Linked DNA regions of Macaca fascicularis. The protein of the gene in region 1 interacts with the protein of each later gene in a pairwise test. Links are inferred from orthologs where the notes say so. Each region holds a gene or a part of one and is shown in the gene's direction. Other genes may lie near its edges. The genes, in order: WASL, RHOJ, RNF8 and ARPC3.

Region 1 (4,674 bases):
TTTTAATTACAAAATACTAAAACTACCTCTAAACTACTGGGCACTAATATGACCTGATAGATAACAGTCAAGAGATTTTTACACCCCTGGTCTCAGCTTTATTTGTAAAATCAGATAACCATCTTGGTCTGTTTTGAAGTATTTCACTGAGTTTAAATGAGATCTTAGTTATGGTATTTGGTAAATTGGTGCATCTTTTGTTGTTGTTGTTTTGAGACAGGGTCTTGCTCTTGCTCTGTCACCAGCCTGGAGTGCACAGCTTACTGCAACCTTGATCTCCTTGGCTCAAGCAATCTTCCCACCTCAGCCTCCTGAGTAGCTGTGACTACAGGCACATGCCACCACACCTGGCTAATTTTTGTATTTTTTTGTAGAGATGGGTTCTGCTGTTTTGCCCCAGGCTGGTTTCAAACTCCTGGACTCAAGTGATCCTCCTGCCTCAGGCTCCCAAAGTGCTGGGATTACAGGCCTGAGCCACCAGTCCCAGGCTAAATTAGTGCTTCTTAAAGTCTGCTTCCAAGACAGCTGAGAGATATGACATGCTTCTGTCACTAGCAGTGGCTTACTATGGCAGTGATTCTGGAGGGTGGGGAACACATACATAATTTGAAAGAAACCCCCAAGTGCTTTGACATATTTCTCATAACTGTTGAGAAGCACTGTTTAGAAATGGCTTATGCATACTACACTAAGAAGAAAGGAATTCCATTGCAGTGGTTATCATGGGTGAACAGTGTATTGTACATATTTTTAAATTGTGGTCTGGGTAGAACCTTGCATTTCTGAATAGGGCAATGACTATGTTTCTCTAACCACTTATTTCCAATTGCTGAACGTTCATGATTCTTCACCTTTGGTATTAAGGTTAAACCTATTTTTTATACTATGACAATAGATATGGCAGTCATCATGGTACTCTTATCCATAGTTTAACCTTGATACATTTTAATTATCAGTCTCTTTCTGCATCATGATTAATACTACTTATACCAGTATGTAATTAGAAAGGTACTCTGCAAAAGTTAAGAATTTGAAGATGGTTAATGAGCAGTACAAGGAAGGTATATTTGACCCTCCCACATCTATAAAATAGAGGAAAAGATCATAAAGTATTCCTGCAGTGTTTGATAGTACATTGTCTAAATATTGCTGGTAGAACTGTGCTTTGATAATCAGTTCATGTACAAAAGTGTCCTATTCCTTCTATGTAACATTGATGACCTAGTAATTATTCTGGTTATGTATTTGACCAAGTAACTGAATTTGGAAATGGTTGGCTAGGGAGATTATATCTTAGCTGAATTAAACTGACTTGATATGTAGGTTTTATGAAAGACACGTTATCCAGTGTTTACAGTTTTAAGAAATTACTGATTAGATTATGTGACACTATTTATATATTATAAATATGTTGCATGTGTGCATGTAAAAGTTATTTTTAATATAAACAGTTATCTTAATATGAGTCATCTGCTTTGTTTTATTCCTAGAGATTATGTTTTGGTAGTTCTTATTTTAATTTTTGACTTTTTTCTAGGATGGGAAACTATTGTGGGAACAAGAGCTATACAATAACTTTGTATATAATAGTCCTAGAGGATATTTTCATACCTTTGCTGGAGATGTAAGTCATATTTTTCTTTATTACCATCTTTTTTCATTGCTTGCCTTTTCTAATCCAAATTATTTATAGAGCCTTATTGAAAGATCAAATTCAATTTACTGTTTTTTTTTTTTTTGCTGAAGGTGAAATAATGTCTTATCTGCTAGTAAAATTAACCTTTCATTCTTTAGAAATATACTTCTTTTGCTCATTGTTTTTATGATATAAAGCTGTTATATAAAGCATGATTCTGTTGTTTCTGCTTTATGATGAAAATATTTCAGACTTGTCAAGTTGCTCTTAATTTTGCCAATGAAGAAGAAGCAAAAAAATTCCGAAAAGCAGTTACAGACCTGTTGGGCCGCCGACAAAGGAAATCTGGTAACCCTTTTTTTAATTACTTAAATTGGACCAGCAAACTAATGCTCATGGGACAAGTGTGGGCCACTTCCTGTTTTTGTAAATAAAAGTTTACTGAAACTTAGCTATATTCATTGGTTTACATGTTGTGTTTGGCTACTTTTTTGCCACAACACAGTTCAATAGTGATGACAGTGATTATGTGGTCCTCAAAGCCTAAACTATTTATTACCTAAAATATTTACTATTTACAAAAAAATTTGGTGGTCTTTACCTTAAAATAATATTTTTCTTGAGAACTGTTTTTTTTAGATTTACTGAAGGACCCATTCCAATAACATTTTTTGTTGATAAAATGTCATATGTATTGTCTTTTAATTTTGCATTTGTGTTAGCATTGTTTGTTAAGTTTTAAAAGTATTTTATACTTTGTAAACAAAGACTTTAGGTAAACTTAGAAGCAAATAAGCAGAGTTGCTAACAAGATCTATAAACATTGCCTTGTCTCTCTATTTTGTTCCTAATACTATATACTATAAAACCCATAAGGAACCTGTTTATTGTGTAACACATATAAAACAATTACAGAACAATGCAGGATAGTATAAAGCTTTAAATTAATTGGTATAGAACTATTGTTCGACAACAGTGTACCAGGCCTTTCTCTTGTAAAGTGGAGAAGGGTGACTAGGAAAGGGGAACCTTTCCAAAATCATCTTAAGCAGATCAGTTTCAGGAGAATGAACATGTGCTTTCATCCAGTCCTATGGTTCTAAAAACTGTATGCTGATGACTCTCAAAGTTTTGTCTTCAGTACTGACACATCTTCCCTGAGCTTCAGACTCTGTCTACTCAAGTTAAGTGACACAATAGCCTTTAGACTTAACACGTCTGAGCAGAATATTTGATCCATGTCCTGTATCCCGAACCCTAGCCCCACTCAGACCTGTTCCTGTTCTTCTACTAATCTTCCTTGTTTCAGCAAAAGGCATTTGTTCCATCTTATCCCTCAGGCTCACCATGGTCCCTCATAAATCCTATCAGAGTCCTATCAGATTGGCTCTGCCTTCAAAAACTTGTCCTGTCTGACTATTTCTTACCATTTCTGCTGCTACCATTCTAATCCAGGCAGCCATGATCTGTCGGTTGGACTGCTACACTAGCTCTCTGACTAGTCTCCCTGCTGCTACTCAATCCTTTTTACTATCACTTTTCTATACAGTAGCCAGAGTAAACTTGTAGATTAGGTTATATCACTTTCTCTATTTAAAATTCTGTAAGAGCTTCCTATCATATACACATATAATCTATAGTCCTTAACCATGGCCTACGGAATCCTACATGATCTAGTCCTGTTCTTTCCTTCTGACTTGTTTCCTTTCACTGTGCCTTTTGCTCACTACAGTTCAGCCTTCATGATGTTCTTTCATGTTGCACCCTCCTTGGAGCCTTTGAATATATTGTTCCCTTCCTTATTTTATTTAGATCTCTGCTTAAATGTCGGGTCTTCTGAAAAATCTTCCTTAGTCACACATACATCAATTTAGGAATAAGACAGTTTAGTGAATTAATTTTTTTATGTTGATGTTGTCTTACATATATTTAATAATATTCTTCTAATTTATTTTCTAACAGAGAAAAGACGAGATCCCCCAAATGGTAAGCTTTTTGACAATTATTAATCGTTTAAGATTTTAGATGACAGTTTAATCCTTGTGGAAACGTGTACCATACATTAGTAATATTTAGTATCTATTGCATCTTAATCCTTGTGAAAACATGTACCATACATTAATAAGTAATATTTAGTATCTATGATCAAATTATACGGTTTATTGTGTTCTTTTTCATTAATGACTGACAGATGAGACTTAGGAAACAATATTCTTCGATATTTTTCTGACATGAAGAAAGAATACATAGTGTGGAGATCACTAATACTTATATCTTAATTCTGGATTCACAGTTGACTGAGTATACAATCTAGCCTTAACATTTTTCCTAGAGGCAGTAAATTTTGTCTAGCATATTTGTTAATTTCCTACTTTAACATTTATCTTTCATTCTTATTTCAAAGTATTATTTCACACTGGTTATGTGTTACATGAAGCCCCTTTCAGAATGAACACCTACTGTTATGGTGTATTTAGAACTAATTTAGCTTCATATAATGCTCTTTAATTTGATAATGACAACTTGAAGTATTATGAATTCATTTTTTAAAAAATATTAAATACCAGAGAGTAAAAGCAGTAAAAGATAAAGTCCAGGAGTAGAAATTCTTACCCTAGACTTCATAAAGTCCCTGAAATATGTGCTAAATATGTTCTTTTCTCTGGAGAGAGAGGATCCATGGCTTTCATCTGTTTAAATGAGGTCCCTGACTCTGTGAAGGTAAAGAACCATTCTCCAGGACCCTTTATTATGATAGAGAAAATGGCTGCTGCTTTTTAAAATCACATCTCAAATCCTTTTATCAGAACCTAGAATGATTATTCAAGGAAAACTTACATAATCCAAAGTTCTTAATATCTGACAGCTATTGGTGATTGTTGGGGTTTGTTTCTTTTAAACAGGTATGTTGCTTTTTGATTTTGTCCTTACATTTCTTTTCCTGATACAGAAACATGAACCAAATTTTGCTGTACTAAATTCTGGGTTATTTACCTTATTAATTTTTTAAATGCCTGACTACCTTCAGTAGTGCTTAA
Region 2 (4,047 bases), on another chromosome or scaffold:
GTTTTAGTGGGGGGTTTTTTAAACTTTTTTTTTTTTAAATATGCCTTTTAAAGTATGTTAAGGCTGGGTGCAGTGGCTCACACCTGTAATCCCAGCATTTTGGGAGGCTGAGGTGGACAGATCACATGAGGTCAGGAGTTAGAGACCAGACTGGTCAACATGGGAAAACCCCATCTCTACTAAAAATACAAAAACTAACCCAGCTTGGTGGCACGTGCCTGTAATCCCAGCTACTCAAGAAGCTGAGGCAGGAGAATCACTTGAACCCAGGAGGCGGAGGTTGCGGCAAGCCAAGATAGTGCCACTGCACTCCAGCCTGGGCAACAAGAGCGAAACTCCATCTCAAAAATAAATAAATAAATAAACAAATACATAAATAAAATGTTAAAACTAAATAATAATGCCAGTTGGATATTACCTTGTTGAGGTGTACCTTAAAAGAGGTACATTTTAATCAAGAATGACCTATAAAACCATATCACCCACTCCCTTTCTCTCTGCTTTATCAACCAAGCTGACACTTTGCCTTTTATCATACCAAAGGAGATACATTTCACTTATACATGATTTACACATTCTGCCTACAAATGAGAGGATATGAAAAACAAGATCATGCACCCCTGTTCTTCACAAAACGTATTTAAATTATATCATTGGTTTTGAATTGTCTCCTAGTTTTTTAGATCTTTATATTTTTTATATTCTTAGGAATAAATGGCTATGGATCAATTTCAGGATGTACTGCTTTCCAGAAGTGATCCACAACCATTTATTGCTAATAAAGGAATGTAAGAAATACAAAAATACAAAAAAATAGAATAACATATACAAATTGAAATGAAAAAAACAAAAAAAAAAGGCAAACGTAATCCAAACCACCCCACAAGCTGTTTGTAGGACAGGCAGAAGTGAGTGCTTGTCTGGGCAGTGAGCTGATACCACTGTGCTGTTCTCTTTTTTCTCTCTCATGCCTTTCTCTCTTTTGCGTTTAAGATCGGAGCGCAGTGCTACTTGGAATGCTCTGCTCTGACTCAGAAAGGTCTCAAAGCGGTTTTTGATGAAGCAATCCTCACCATTTTCCACCCCAAGAAAAAGAAGAAACGCTGTTCTGAAGGTCACAGCTGCTGCTCAATTATCTGAGGTTGTCCGGGACCTGCCTCCACCCCACCCAGGCATGAGAATGGCAGCCAATGTCTGCGGCCAAGCTCCAGCCAAAAAGGAGGGCACGACCAGAAAGGAATTCCCTTTGCACGGAGGCTTGCCCCTCCACCCTGTGAGCCCTCCCAACACAGCACACTAGTCAGCCCACTGCCACAACCTCCCTGCCAGCCAGAAGCGTCCGTACTGCACACTCTCTGAGAATGCTGGGCCTGGATTGCAGACAGTGCCGCTGCTGATCAGATCAAAAACAAAGTCAAAGGCCTTTTACAAATCCCCAGCTCATGAACGCGAAGCTGATAGGAAATCACCCCAGGGAACCGGAAAAAGAAAGTTGGTTCCTCTCTTGGTGGCCTTACTTGATGTTTTACAAAACTTGGGACTACAATACTAACCTTTTTTTCTGAATCTGCTGTTCTACCCATGTGTCTCACATTCATTTGTATTATTTCAAGAAATGTACTAATTTCCAGTTTACTCAGGCCTTACAAATCCATACCAAATTAGCCTAAAGACAAGGCATTTTATATTCATTTCTATTTTCAGCATGTTTCTACCAAAGCTATTAGAATCAACACGTACCTCTGAATGCCTGATTATAAGAAGACATGAGAAGACTTAAAAGTTTTGGAAATTTACAGAGCCATGATTTTTGAACCTGATTGAAAGAAAACCATCTGAATTGTTGCAGGTCCACATTTTTGCCAAAGATGCACTCTACAAATGCTTAGTAGTGGCCTGATTTTTTTCCATATTATATTGCCATGACAAACTAAAAATGAACTGTGTTTAAGAATATAGTATTTCTGTTTTTCATCCAAGTTGATTGGGGGAAGAATATGGCAGGATCCATCTTTTCAGTATTGTGTATTCAGTAAAGTGGACGTTCCTGCTCTTCCCTTTCCCCATTGCATGCCTCTTCCTCCCTTGATTTCACTTTCTCTCATGCCCAGATCCTTTTTTCTCCCCAGTTATAACCCAGTTATAAAAGAAAGATCTGAGCATAAAAATACATGTTTAAAAATACCTAAAGGTAAAGGAAAGTGTCTTAATTTTTCTATTTACTTCAACTGAAAGGCTTCTAAGCTCGCCCCATGTAAGTTCTCATTCCATATCAGTGGATACCAAGCTCTGTATCCATTTGTCCCCTGCCCTCCACGATGTGTGACATAGAACACGGACTTTGGTCCTGGGAAAGCAAAAGCTCGCAGTAAGGAATCCTGTGCCAAACCATGTACAACAATTCCAAACCTCCAGGAATGTTTGTATCACAGAGCAAATTACTTCCTGCCTTTTCATTAGCGCCTATCAGGGCTTCTAATTAGTCTTACTTGCTTATAAGTGCCCTGGAATCATCCAGGTAGGAGCTTAATTTTTTTCAATTGCATGAGCAAAGTGCTTCTTAGTAGTATGAAATTACAACAATTTTAGTTTAAGACTTTCCAGATTCAAGCTCCCACTGTTGGAAAAAACCAGCCTTTCTAATCTCTTCTGCTATTGGAGTAAGCCCTTAAGAACTGCGTGATAGCCAGGCACAGTGGCTCACGCCTGTGATCCCAGCACTTAGGGAGGCTGAGGTGGGTGGACCACTTGAACTCACGAGTTCGAGACCAGCCTGGGTAATGTAGTGAGACCCTGTGTCTCTATAAAAAATTAAAAATTAGCCAGTTGTAGTGACACACACCTGTAGTCCTAGCTACTCAGGAGGCTGAGGCAGAAGGATCACTTGAGCCCAGAAGGTAAGACTGCAGTGAGCTGTGACTATGCCACTACACTCCAGCCTAGGTGACAGAGCAAGAACCTGTCTCAAAAAAAAAAAAAAAAAAAAAAAAACCCTACATTTCAAGTACTATTTCCCTTCTCTCCCATCTAATTGCTAAACATTTTCTTTCATATGCATACACTCCACTGACTAGAAAACGGGAGTTTTAAGTCAAAGCTTGACATTTAGAGAAAACAAGGACTTTCTGCCTTTATAAATGGAAATCAACTGTGTATGAACTATAACTCTGCAGAGGTGATGAACTCATCCTTTACAAACAATAATGAGTTTTAGTCCTGTAATAAATGAAATGTTACTAGGCAGCTTTGTTGCATGATTGCATAGTTACATCTTGCTAACGGGCCACTCGTTTCTCATTGACATGGATGAAAAATTGAGAGCAGTATGTTTCCAGGTGTGCGCACTCGACAGGCAAATAGCTCCCCAGGTCATCGCTCCCCTAATGGGCCACAGGAAGTAAGCTGATCATGATGGGGAGATCACTCTGTCACCCAGAACCAGCAACTGGATAGAGACTGTGGTTAGTGTCTGGGGGGAGCACAGGCTCCCAGGGGTCTTAGGAGCTAATTACTGAATAAAACAATCAAAAACAAAGCAACCTAAATAAGTTCATGTCATTCTGCCAAATTAATCAGTTATTCCTTGTTTCATGGCAAGATCCAGTTTGTTTCACTAAAAAGTGTTTTCTGCTATAAGATTAAACTGTATTCTGAAACCAAAGATAAGAAGAGACATAGAGGTCAGGCACAGCGGCTCACGCCTGTAATCCCAACACTTTGGGAGGCAAAGGCAGGTGGATCATGAAGTCAAGAGATCGAGACTATCCTGGCCAAAATGGTGAAACCCCATCTCTACTAAAAATACAAAACTTAGCCAGGCATGGTGATGGGCACCCTGTAATCCCAGCTACTCAGGAGGCTGAGGCAGGAGAATTGCTTGAGCCCGGGAGGTGGAGGTTGCAGTGAGCCGATATCACGCCATTGCACTCCAGCCTGGGCAACAGAGCCAGACTCCATCTCAAAAAAGAAAAAAGAAGAGACACAGAAATTTGAAGAAGGATCCTTTAATGGTCCACACCATCTTCCAAAGTCCAGAAGTGGCAGCTG
Region 3 (4,674 bases), on another chromosome or scaffold:
ACCTCTTGGGGAAAGCCAGGGAGATGGTACTGCAGGCCTCTGCAGGCGTGGGAAGTGGCAGGTATCATAGAGCATGGAGCCTGAAGGTAATTCAAGAGGCCTTTCTCCAGCCTTCTGCCTCCAGAGGTGTGCCTTACTTTATAGAAAAGGCAGCTGCAAAGAACACTTTAACTTTATAACTAATTCAAGTTTCCTGCCTCTCTGGACTATTCATGCGTCTTTTCTTGTCCAGTGAGTTTTTCATTATTTGGGATGATCTTATGTAACGTCCGAACTACGGCTTGCTATAAACTACTTAATGTCCCATCTGGTCTTGGGTGGTTGGTGTGGTTAGTATACCACCTGCATTTTTCTCATTTGACTAATTTTGGGGAAGGAGACAGAAACTGCAATGCAAATACTGAAAAAGTGGTGTTTTAGTCCATTCAGGCTACTACAAAAAAGACCCATAAACTGCATAGCTTACAAACAACAGAAATTTATTTCTCACAGTACTGGAGGTTGGGAAATCCAAGATCAAGATACTGGCATATTTGGTGTCTGGTGAGGGCTATCTTCTGTTTCATAGATAGAGTCTTGCTGTGTCCCTACATGGTAGAAGGGGCACACGAGCTCTCCTTGGGCCCCTTTTATAAAGGCCACTAACCCGATTTATGAGCATGGAGCCCTCATGACCTAGTCACCTCCCAAAGGCCCCACCTCTTAATACCATCACATTTGAAAATAAGTGTCAACATGGGAATTTGGGAGGAAGCACAAACATTCACACCATAGCAAGTAGGGAGAGGAAAGAAAGAAGGTTAGTGCTCTGCATTAGAAAACAATTATTAACAATAACCCTTAGGGAAAGTGTTCTTAATGTTGCTATACCAGAATGAATCATTCATTAAGACTGAATCCTCTTCTAAATAATTAACCCTGCTCCCTGTCCCCTTTTGCATTTTTGTTGGTTATCTGAATGACAGGTAGGATTGTGTGTCTTGCAGGAAGAGAAGGAGAAGGTGCAAGCACAGAAGGAAGAAGTTCTCAGCCACATGAATGATGTGCTAGAGAATGAGCTCCAATGTATTATTTGTTCAGAATACTTCATTGAGGTAATGAAGTTGCTCACCCCTTCTTTTTTTTTTTTTTTTTTTTTTTTTTTGAGAGAGTCTTACTCTGTCACCCAGGCTGGAGTGCCGTGCTGCGATCTTGGCTCACTGCAACCCCCACTTCCCGGGCTCAAGCAGTTCTTGTGCCTCAGCCTCCTGAGTAGCTGGGATTACAGGCACATGCCACCACGCCTGGCTAAATTTTAGTATTTTTAGTAGACATGGGGTTTTGCCATGTTGGCCAGGCTGGTCTCGAATTCCTGACCTCAGGTGATCTGCCCACCTCGGCCTCCCAAAGTGCTGGGATTACAGGTGTGAGTCACCACACCTGGCTGACCCCTTCTTATTCTCCCAACCCTGAATGGAGCCTGGGCTGTACAGGCTGCTTCTACTATAGGGGAACATTCTGAAGAGATTTTCTTCCAGGAACTTACAACTATTTGATTTCAAAGTGACCCCTAGAGATGACCATTTCTCATTTGTTTTTATAATCTTCTTTCCCTTCACTGTCCTTTTGTGGCATTTCATCTGTTCTTAAATGTTTATTTGGTATGATTAACATTTTTAGCTGCAGTGAAGCTTTTATCTCTTTGTTGTTGAGGGGAAAACAGGGCCAAATTAGATTTTGGAAGTATCAGAATAAAGCTGCTCAGTAAAAGCTATTTTTTCTTTACTCTGAATGGGCCCAATGCTGAGAATATGCTTATAGTGCAGCCTTTTAAACGAGGGGGTAAACGCCATTAAAATGTGGTCACTTTGGGAGTTCAGGGCCCAAGTTGAGTATATTTCAGGGACTCTGAGGCTCCTTATGGAAACTTGAAACCTCTACCATTTGTTAGCCTATCATATTTTTGCACTGGCTTATTTATTTATTTAACAAATTCTGCCATTTATGACCAGTTCACCTTAGACCACAAGTGTTAAACTCAAGTTACTAAATGACAGTGCTTTTCAGACTCCTTTAAAAAGAAGGCCAGGCGCAGTGGCTCACACCTGTAATCCCAGCATTTTGGGAGGCCAAGTGCAGGAGGATCACTTGAGGTAAGGAGTTCGAGACCAGACTGGCCAACATGGTGAAACCCCATCTCTACTAAAAATACAAAAATCCCAGGGGTGGTGGTGTGTGCATGTAGTCCCAGCTAGTTGGGAGGCTGAGGCAGGAGAATCACTTCAATCTGGGAGGCGGAGGCTACAGTGAGCCGAGATCACACCATTGTACTCCAGTCTGGGCAACAGAGCAAGGCAGAAGAAAAAGAAGGCTGAGGCAGGAGAATGGCATGAACCTGGGAGGTGGAGCTTGCAGTGAGCCGAGATCGCGCCTCTGCACTCCAGCCTGGGCGACAGAGCGAGACTCCATCTCAAAAAAGAAAAAAAAAAAGAAAAAAAAAATGTAGGCCAGTTGCAATGGCTCATGCCTATAATCCGAGCACTTTGGGAGGCCAAGGTGGGCAGATCACCTGAGGTCAAGAGTTCAAGATCAGCCTGGTCAACATGGCAAAACCCCATCTCTATTAATAATAGAAAAATTAGCTGGGCATGGTGATGTGTACCTGTAATCCCAGCTACTCAGGAGGCTGAGGCAGGAGAATTGCTTGAACCCAGGGGGCGGAGGTTGCAGTGAAGTGATATCGTACCACTGCACTCCAGCGTGGGTGACAGAGTGAGACTCCGTCTCAAAAAAAAAAAAAAAAAAAAAGGGAAAGCACATATATGCACAGCTTTCTTTACTCAGGTGATCTTTAGGGAGGTTGGGTCTGTTAGCCTCTTGAAAAATCTCTCCTAGGGAGACCTTTTTCTTTTGCTGTGGGTCCACTTAGACTTCAGATCGTAACTTCCCCCATAATTTCTAGTCATCTGATTCCCTACTTTGGAGAAGCTCTGTGTTGTTTTGACAAGGCTTATGGACTCTAGAAGAGGAAGACAAGAAACGGGTTGAAATAAATGATGAGTTAGCCAACCTGGAGCAATCCGCAGAGACATATAAGACGTAAACAACTTGACCTGTGTTTTGTTTACAGAATACCTTCTTATCTACTTTACTGGTTACCTCTTAAAATCAGTCTCAGAAATATGTTTTATTTAATTTATTTGTTTATTTTTGAGACAGAGTCTCGCTGTGTCACCCAGGCTGGGTTGCAGTGGTATGATCTTGGCTCACTGCAACCTCCACCTCCTGGATTCAAGTGATCCTGCCTCAGCCTCCCGAGTAGCTGGGACTACAGGCACCCACCACCATGCCCGGCTAATTTTTTTATATTTTTAGTAGAGATGGGATTTCATCATGTTGGCCAGGCTGGTCTCGAACTCTGACCTCAGGTGATCTGCCCACCTCAGCCTCCCAAAGTGCTGGGATACAGTAAGCCTCAGATGTTTCATTTTTATCACATAGGTTTTCAGTACTGTTTATGAGAGCTTGTCTTATGTAATAAACACAATGTTTCCTAGCTTCTGTGCTCAACTTGGCATTTAAAAAATATGTAATATCAGTGTTATTTTGCACTGTTATCCTAAGAGCAGGAATGAGCACTTTTGAGCATAAGATACAAGAGCCTTGTATCTTAGGAGATGTACATAAACAAAAGTAACAAAGAGAAAGGTTTGTATTCTCCAGAGTGAAAAGGGCTCTGGCAGAAATTGACCAGAGGGATTACTCAGAGGAGCCCCACAAATACAGGCTTCCTTTTGCTTTCTCTCTTCATTGGCACATTTACTTAGATATTCAGGCATTGTCAATAAACCCATTATATTTTTACTTTTTAGTTTCTTTTTTTTGCCCAGCATTTTTAGTTGCCTTCTATATTATTTTACTTTTTCAGTTTTAGAGATGATATCATATAATTCTCTATACTTAAAATTTAGTATGTGTTCCCTTTCATATGTTAATTAGCAAGACAAATTTGTTTTTCTTTTTGAAAAATTTGTTTTACAAAAGCGTCAGATTGGCAGAAACTAATAATATTTATTGTTTGTTTTTGTTTGTTTGTTAGTTTTTTTCCAGGCAGTGTCTCACTCTGTCGCCCACGCTAGAGTGCAATGACGCCGTCATGGCTCACTGCAGTTTCTAGCTCCCGGGCTGAAGTGATCCTCCCACCCCAGCCTCATGAGTAGCTGGGGCTACAGACTGTGCCACCATGCCCGGCTATTTTTTTTTTTTTTTTGGTAGAGATGGGATTTCACCATGTCTCAGGCTGGTCTTGAATTCCTGGCTCAAGCAGTCCACCTTCTTCAGCTCCCCAAGTGCTAGGATTACAGGTGTAAGCATTCACACACTTATTAGTCCTACTCATATCCAGTAACATTTTGTTTGCAAGGTGGCCAGCCCACACTGGGAGCGTGGTCTGAGTTGGTGGACTGAAACAGACAAATCCCTTAACTTTGAGAAAATAAAAGAATTATCTAACATAAAGCTTAAAATTTCCCAACCCTAAGAACGATTTTTTTTTTTTTTTTTTTAAAAGACAGAGTCTCCCTCTGTCACTCAGGCCAGACTGCAGTGGCGTGATTTTTGTCTCACTGCAACCTCCACCTCCTGGGTTCAAGAAATTCTCGTGCCTCAGCCACCCGAGTAGCTGGGATTAGAGGT
Region 4 (5,152 bases), on another chromosome or scaffold:
CACCTGAGGTCAGGAGTTCAAGACCAGCATGGTGAAAGCCTGTCTCTACTAAAAATAAAAAAAAAAAAATAGCTGGGCATGGTGGCTCCTGCCTGTAATTCCAGCTATTTGAGAGGCTGAAGTGGGAGAATCCCTTGAATCCAGAAGGTGGAGCTTGCAGTGAGCCAGGATCGCACCATTGCACTCCAGCCTGGGCAACAGTGAGACACCATCTCAAAAAAAAATGTGAGGACCTGTAGGTGTCAGTGGTAGCTTATGCCTGGGGGGCCAGGCTAGAGGGAAGGGTCGGGTGTCTACACCATGGTCCAGTCAGGGAGGAGCATGATGAGTGGGCAACATTGGGATATGCTGGGCTTCCTGGGGACTTTCCTGTGGCCCTTAGAGGATAGAGACTGTGGAAACAGTCTGATCTCCCAGGGTTGCTAATTCTTAGAAACTTTATTGTCACATGGGAGGGGAAGAAAGGAGAGGCAGCTTTTCAGTTGCCCTCTTGGTCCTCCCTGGTTTAGCTTCTAGAGAGTATGGTATGTGCCTGTGGAGAAAAAGTGAAGGACCCAATTCCAGTGCCTTCCCCACTGGACACTAGGGTTTCAAAGATGAATCTGACAATTCCAGTCCTCGAGGATTTCACTGTCTCATAGGCAGGGCTGACATGATTCTTTACACAAATTTACTGAAGTTCTATGGATGCCAGGTACTGGGGATAGAACAGGGACTCAGTGCAGGCAGCGCTTTGCTCACGTGGGGCTGTCATGCTGGGCTGTGAGACTGAACCTCGGAGAGAGGATGGAAAGAACAGAAAGCAGAAAAGAAATGGAGAGTGACTATGGGGCTACTTTGGGCTCTTTGTCAAAAAAGACCTTGCCTAAAAGGTGCTATTTGCCCAGTCACCTGAATGCGAAATCAGATGTGGGAACATGGGGCTCTATTCCAGGCTGCGAACTGGCAGAAGAAATGGCTCTCAGGTAGCAATGAACTTGACTTTTAACGTAAGTTTTCTAGTAATAAATAGGTTAAAAACTCCTGGGCTTTCGGTATGCTCCAAGCATGTAAGTTCTAAGCATTTTACATGTAATTCATTTCATCGTCACAAAATTATGAGGTAAATATTGTTACTACCATTTTCAGGTGAGGAACTGAAGTACAGAGGCAAGTTAACTTGCTCAAAATTATAGAGCTAGTATGTATTGAAGCTGCGATTCAGATTCCAGTGCCCTTCAGTTTCTCTATTTTTAGATGCAGTGCATTGGGTTCATTCATTTACTCAAATACTGATGTTTCCTACATACCATCACTGTTACAGGCGCCAGGGGACAAAACGGGCGAAGTGCTGTCTGGCATTTACAAGGATAGGGAGACAAGCACTAAGAGTAAACTAAATACAAGAATCATAAGAACTAAGGGAAAAAGCGGGAGAGAAGGATAAGGCATGGGGCTGGAGTCGGGTGAATTGAAAACAGAATGACCAGAGGCGGCTTCACAGGAAAGGTGTTTTGTTTGTTTGTTTAAGATAGAGTCACACTCTCACCCAAGCTAGAGTGCAGCGGCACGATCTTGGCTCACCGCAAACTCCGCCTCCCAGGTTCAAGCGATTATTCTGCCTCAGCCTCCCGAGTAGCTGGGATGCTACCACGCCCAGCTAATTTTTGTATTTTTAGTAGAGACGAGATTTCACCATCCAGGCTGATCTCGGACTCCTGACTTCAGGTAATCCACCCGCCTCGGCCTCCCAAAGTGCTGGGATTACAGGCATGAGCCACTATGCCCGGCCCTGAAAAGGTGAAATTTGAAAAAAACACAAAAGAGGTGATTGATCGAAGATTCTGGAACCTCAAGACCCATCTCCATTTTGCGCGCGCCTCACGCTGCGCCACTCTGAGGGCCCCTACCTAGCGCTCTGGCGCCCCCTTTCAGATCCGCGCGGCCGCTGCAACCAGAGGCGGAACTACAAAGCCGGAAGCTCACGTCATCACCCCGCCCCTTCCGTTTCGCTTCCGCCTACCCCGCCCGGGCTGCCAGACCGGAAGCGTTCTGCTCTACCTGGATTCTGCTCCTCTGGGTTGGAACCCGGGTGCTGCCAAGATGCCGGTGAGGGTTCGATCCATGGTGTGGGGAGACAGCGGGGATTGCGAAAAGCGGGGAGAAACCTTGTGTGTGCCGAGAGAAGCGGGCGGCGGAAGGCAGAGAGGAAGCGGGAGCCCGAGAAGGAGTGAGGCGAGGGGAGGGGACCGGTCGCTGAAGAATTGGGACAGCCCGCGGGTGCCAGTCGTGGGAGGCGGGGGCGCGGCAGGAGTGGGCCCGGGGTCCAGGGGTCCAGGGTGTGTGAGGAGGCCCTCTTCTCTCTCTCTCCGTCTACTCCTTCCGGCTCCGGCAGGGTTCCCAAAGCGTCACTACAGCGCGAAGCCAAGGGTTGCCCTTTTTATTTTTCATATTTCAAGTCCAGGGTCTAGCTTCTCCTTTTTCTGTGAGGCCCACTTCCTCCTCCGCCCCGGGGGGCAGGCTCCCTCTGCTGTTTGTCATTTGTCAGAACCCACTTCCCGGCAGCGGCGGCCACCCCGGAGCCACCTGGGTATAGGGCCCTCACAGACTCGGTCGGCGCCTGACTTCCAAAGATTTCCTTTTTCGTGTGCATCAGAGTGGGAGTAAAAATCTATGACGGTCTGGTTGTACTTAATTTCTGACAGGCAGTCTGTGGGCTAGATTTATCACCATCATGGTCTCCATTTTGCAGATTCGGGAAAAGGTGGTTCGGTTATTGTGTGATTGTTCACACTTTTTTTGTTTGTTTTTTGAGAGAGTCTCGTTCTGTGGTCCAGGCTGGAGTGCAGTGAGGCGATCTCGGCTCACTACAACCTCCGCCACCTTGGTTCAAGCAGTCCTCGTGCCTCAGCCTCCTGGGTAGCTGGGATTACAGGCGCGCGCCACCACACCCAGCTAATTTTTTGCATTTTAGTAGGGACGGGGGTTTCACCATGTTGGCTGGGCTGGGCTGGAACTCCAGACCTCAGGTGATCCGCCCCCTCGGCCTCCCAAAGTGTTGGGATTATAGACATGAGCCACCGCGCCCAGCCTGCTCACACATTATTTTTAACAAACGTTACCGAGCACCTACTGCCTGCCAGGCTCTATTTACAGCAGCAAATAAGTTCAACAAATCCCTAATCTTAAACAGTGTACGTTCAAATCGGGAGACGAGACAATAAAAGTGTAAACATAAAGGAGATACATACAGTAGTGTCAGGTAGTGACAAATGCTATAAAGAAGCTAGATGGATGGCCAGGCGCGGTGGCTCACGCCTGTAATCCCAGCACTTTGGGAGGCCTAGGCGGATGGATCACGAGGTCAGGAGTTCAAGACCAGCCTGGCCAACATGGTGAAACTCCATCTCTACTAAAAATAAAAAAATTAGCTGGGCGTAGTGGCGCGTGCCTGTAATCCCAGCTACTTGGGAGGCTGAGGCAGGAGAATCGCTTGAACCCAGGAGGTGGAGGTTGCAGTGAGCCAAGACTGTGCCACTGCACTCCAGCCTGGCCACAGAGTGAGACTCTGACCCCCCCACTCCAAAAAAAAGAAACTAGATAGGTAACAAGACAGTTTGGTGAAAGGGAAGGCAGAGGGTACTTTAGATAAAGTATACTTGTGATGAAAAGGAGCAAGCCATAGTTGCAAATACATATATAGAGAGATATATATAGATAGATAGATTTTTTTTTTTTTTTTTTTTTTGAGACAGGGTTACACCCCGTCTCTGAGACTGCAGTGCAGTGACACAAACTTGGCTCAGGTGATCCTCCCACCTCAGCCTCCTGAGCAGCTGGGACTACAGGTGTACGTCGCCACGCCCAGCTAAGTTTTTCTATTTTCAGTAGAGACAGGGTCTCACCATGTTGCCCAGGCTGGTCTCAAACTTCTGGGCTCAAGCAGTCCTCCTGCCTCGACCTCCCTGAGTGTTGGGATTACAGGCGTGAGCCACCTCATTCAGCCTCACAAATACATATTTTATGAATTCCGTAATTACCATTTGACTCCTGAGCTCTGGGGTACACACTTTATAAATTATCCCATCTAATCCTCATAATGACCCTGTGAAGTAGGTACCATGATTCCTATTTTACAGAAGAGGAAACGGAACCTCAGAGAAGTTAATTTGGACAAAGTTGCCTACTAATGGTAAAACCAGATTTTAAGCCAGGACTCTAGGCTGGGTACAGTGGCTTATGCCTGTAATCCCAACACTTTAGGAGGCCAAGATGGGAGGATCGCTTGAGCCCAGGGGTTTGAGACCAACCTGGGCAACATAATGAGACCCTGCCTCTACAAAAATAAGAATAAATTAACTGGATGTGGTAGTGCATCTCCTCCCAGCCTCTCAAGAGGCTGAGGTGGGAGGATCACCTGGAGCCAGGAGTTTGAGGCTGCAGTGAGCTGTGATCATGCCACTGTACTCCAGCCTGGGTGAGAGGAGACTCTGTCTCCAAAAAAAAAGGACTCTAAAGCCCTGTACTGGCTCCAGTTGCACATAGAGCACCCTGGATTCACCCTGGGTTGGTTGGTTGGTTGGTTGGTTGGTTGGTTTGAGATGGAGTCTCGCTCTGTACCAGGCTGGAGTGCAGTGGTGCGATCTCGGCTCACTGCAACCTCTGCCTCCTGTGTTCAGGTAATTCTCGTGCCTCAGCCTCCCAAGTAGCTGGGAATACAGGCATGTGCTACCACACCCGGCTAATTTTTGTATTTTTAGTAGAGATGGGGTTTCACCATGTTGGTCTGGATGGTCTCTATCTTTTGGCCTTGTGATCTGTCAGCCTCGGCCTCCCAAAGTGTTTGGATTACAGGCGTGAGCCACCGTGCCCGTCCCATCCTGTGATTATTTTTTGTCTACCTTCTCTACTCTTCAAGGACCAGGACTGTACTACTTTGTATATTACTGTATCACAGTGTCTTGCACATAGAATGTGCTTAGCAATCATTTGATGGATGAATATATGAATGGGACCCATGTTGTCTTATAAAAAGCCAGGCATCTTGTAAAAAGCAGAACTAAGAATCAGCATACAGAATGCTCTCATAAATGTGATTTTTTTCTCCCTTCCTTTAACTCACACTTACCCACTGAAGGGAATATATATATTCTCATTTTACAAATTTGGAAAC

The links.
Region 2: the proteins of WASL (region 1) and RHOJ interact in binary tests that used the Homo sapiens proteins (3 or more experiments, as listed by UniProt). The two-hybrid records come from large-scale screens. The link is inferred for Macaca fascicularis from reciprocal best matches to the Homo sapiens genes WASL and RHOJ.
Region 3: the proteins of WASL (region 1) and RNF8 interact in binary tests that used the Homo sapiens proteins (3 or more experiments, as listed by UniProt). The two-hybrid records come from large-scale screens. The link is inferred for Macaca fascicularis from reciprocal best matches to the Homo sapiens genes WASL and RNF8.
Region 4: the proteins of WASL (region 1) and ARPC3 interact in binary tests that used the Homo sapiens proteins (3 or more experiments, as listed by UniProt). The two-hybrid records come from large-scale screens. The link is inferred for Macaca fascicularis from reciprocal best matches to the Homo sapiens genes WASL and ARPC3.

The regions. Positions count from the first base shown.
Region 1 is NC_088377.1:165,348,584-165,353,257, reverse strand, and holds part of WASL (actin nucleation-promoting factor WASL), read left to right. Parts: intron 1-1,537; coding exon 1,538-1,624; intron 1,625-1,887; coding exon 1,888-1,984; intron 1,985-3,598; coding exon 3,599-3,622; intron 3,623-4,674. UniProt on the Homo sapiens protein: Regulates actin polymerization by stimulating the actin-nucleating activity of the Arp2/3 complex. Involved in various processes, such as mitosis and cytokinesis, via its role in the regulation of actin polymerization.
Region 2 is NC_088381.1:131,103,157-131,107,203, forward strand, and holds the end of RHOJ (rho-related GTP-binding protein RhoJ), read left to right. Parts: intron 1-993; coding exon 994-1,140; 3' UTR 1,141-3,243; downstream 3,244-4,047.
Region 3 is NC_088378.1:134,273,204-134,277,877, reverse strand, and holds part of RNF8 (E3 ubiquitin-protein ligase RNF8), read left to right. Parts: intron 1-986; coding exon 987-1,094; intron 1,095-4,674. UniProt on the Homo sapiens protein: E3 ubiquitin-protein ligase that plays a key role in DNA damage signaling via 2 distinct roles: by mediating the 'Lys-63'-linked ubiquitination of histones H2A and H2AX and promoting the recruitment of DNA repair proteins at double-strand breaks (DSBs) sites, and by catalyzing 'Lys-48'-linked ubiquitination to remove target proteins from DNA damage sites.
Region 4 is NC_088385.1:117,321,777-117,326,928, reverse strand, and holds the start of ARPC3 (actin-related protein 2/3 complex subunit 3), read left to right. Parts: upstream 1-1,985; 5' UTR 1,986-2,082; coding exon 2,083-2,088; intron 2,089-5,152. UniProt on the Homo sapiens protein: Component of the Arp2/3 complex, a multiprotein complex that mediates actin polymerization upon stimulation by nucleation-promoting factor (NPF).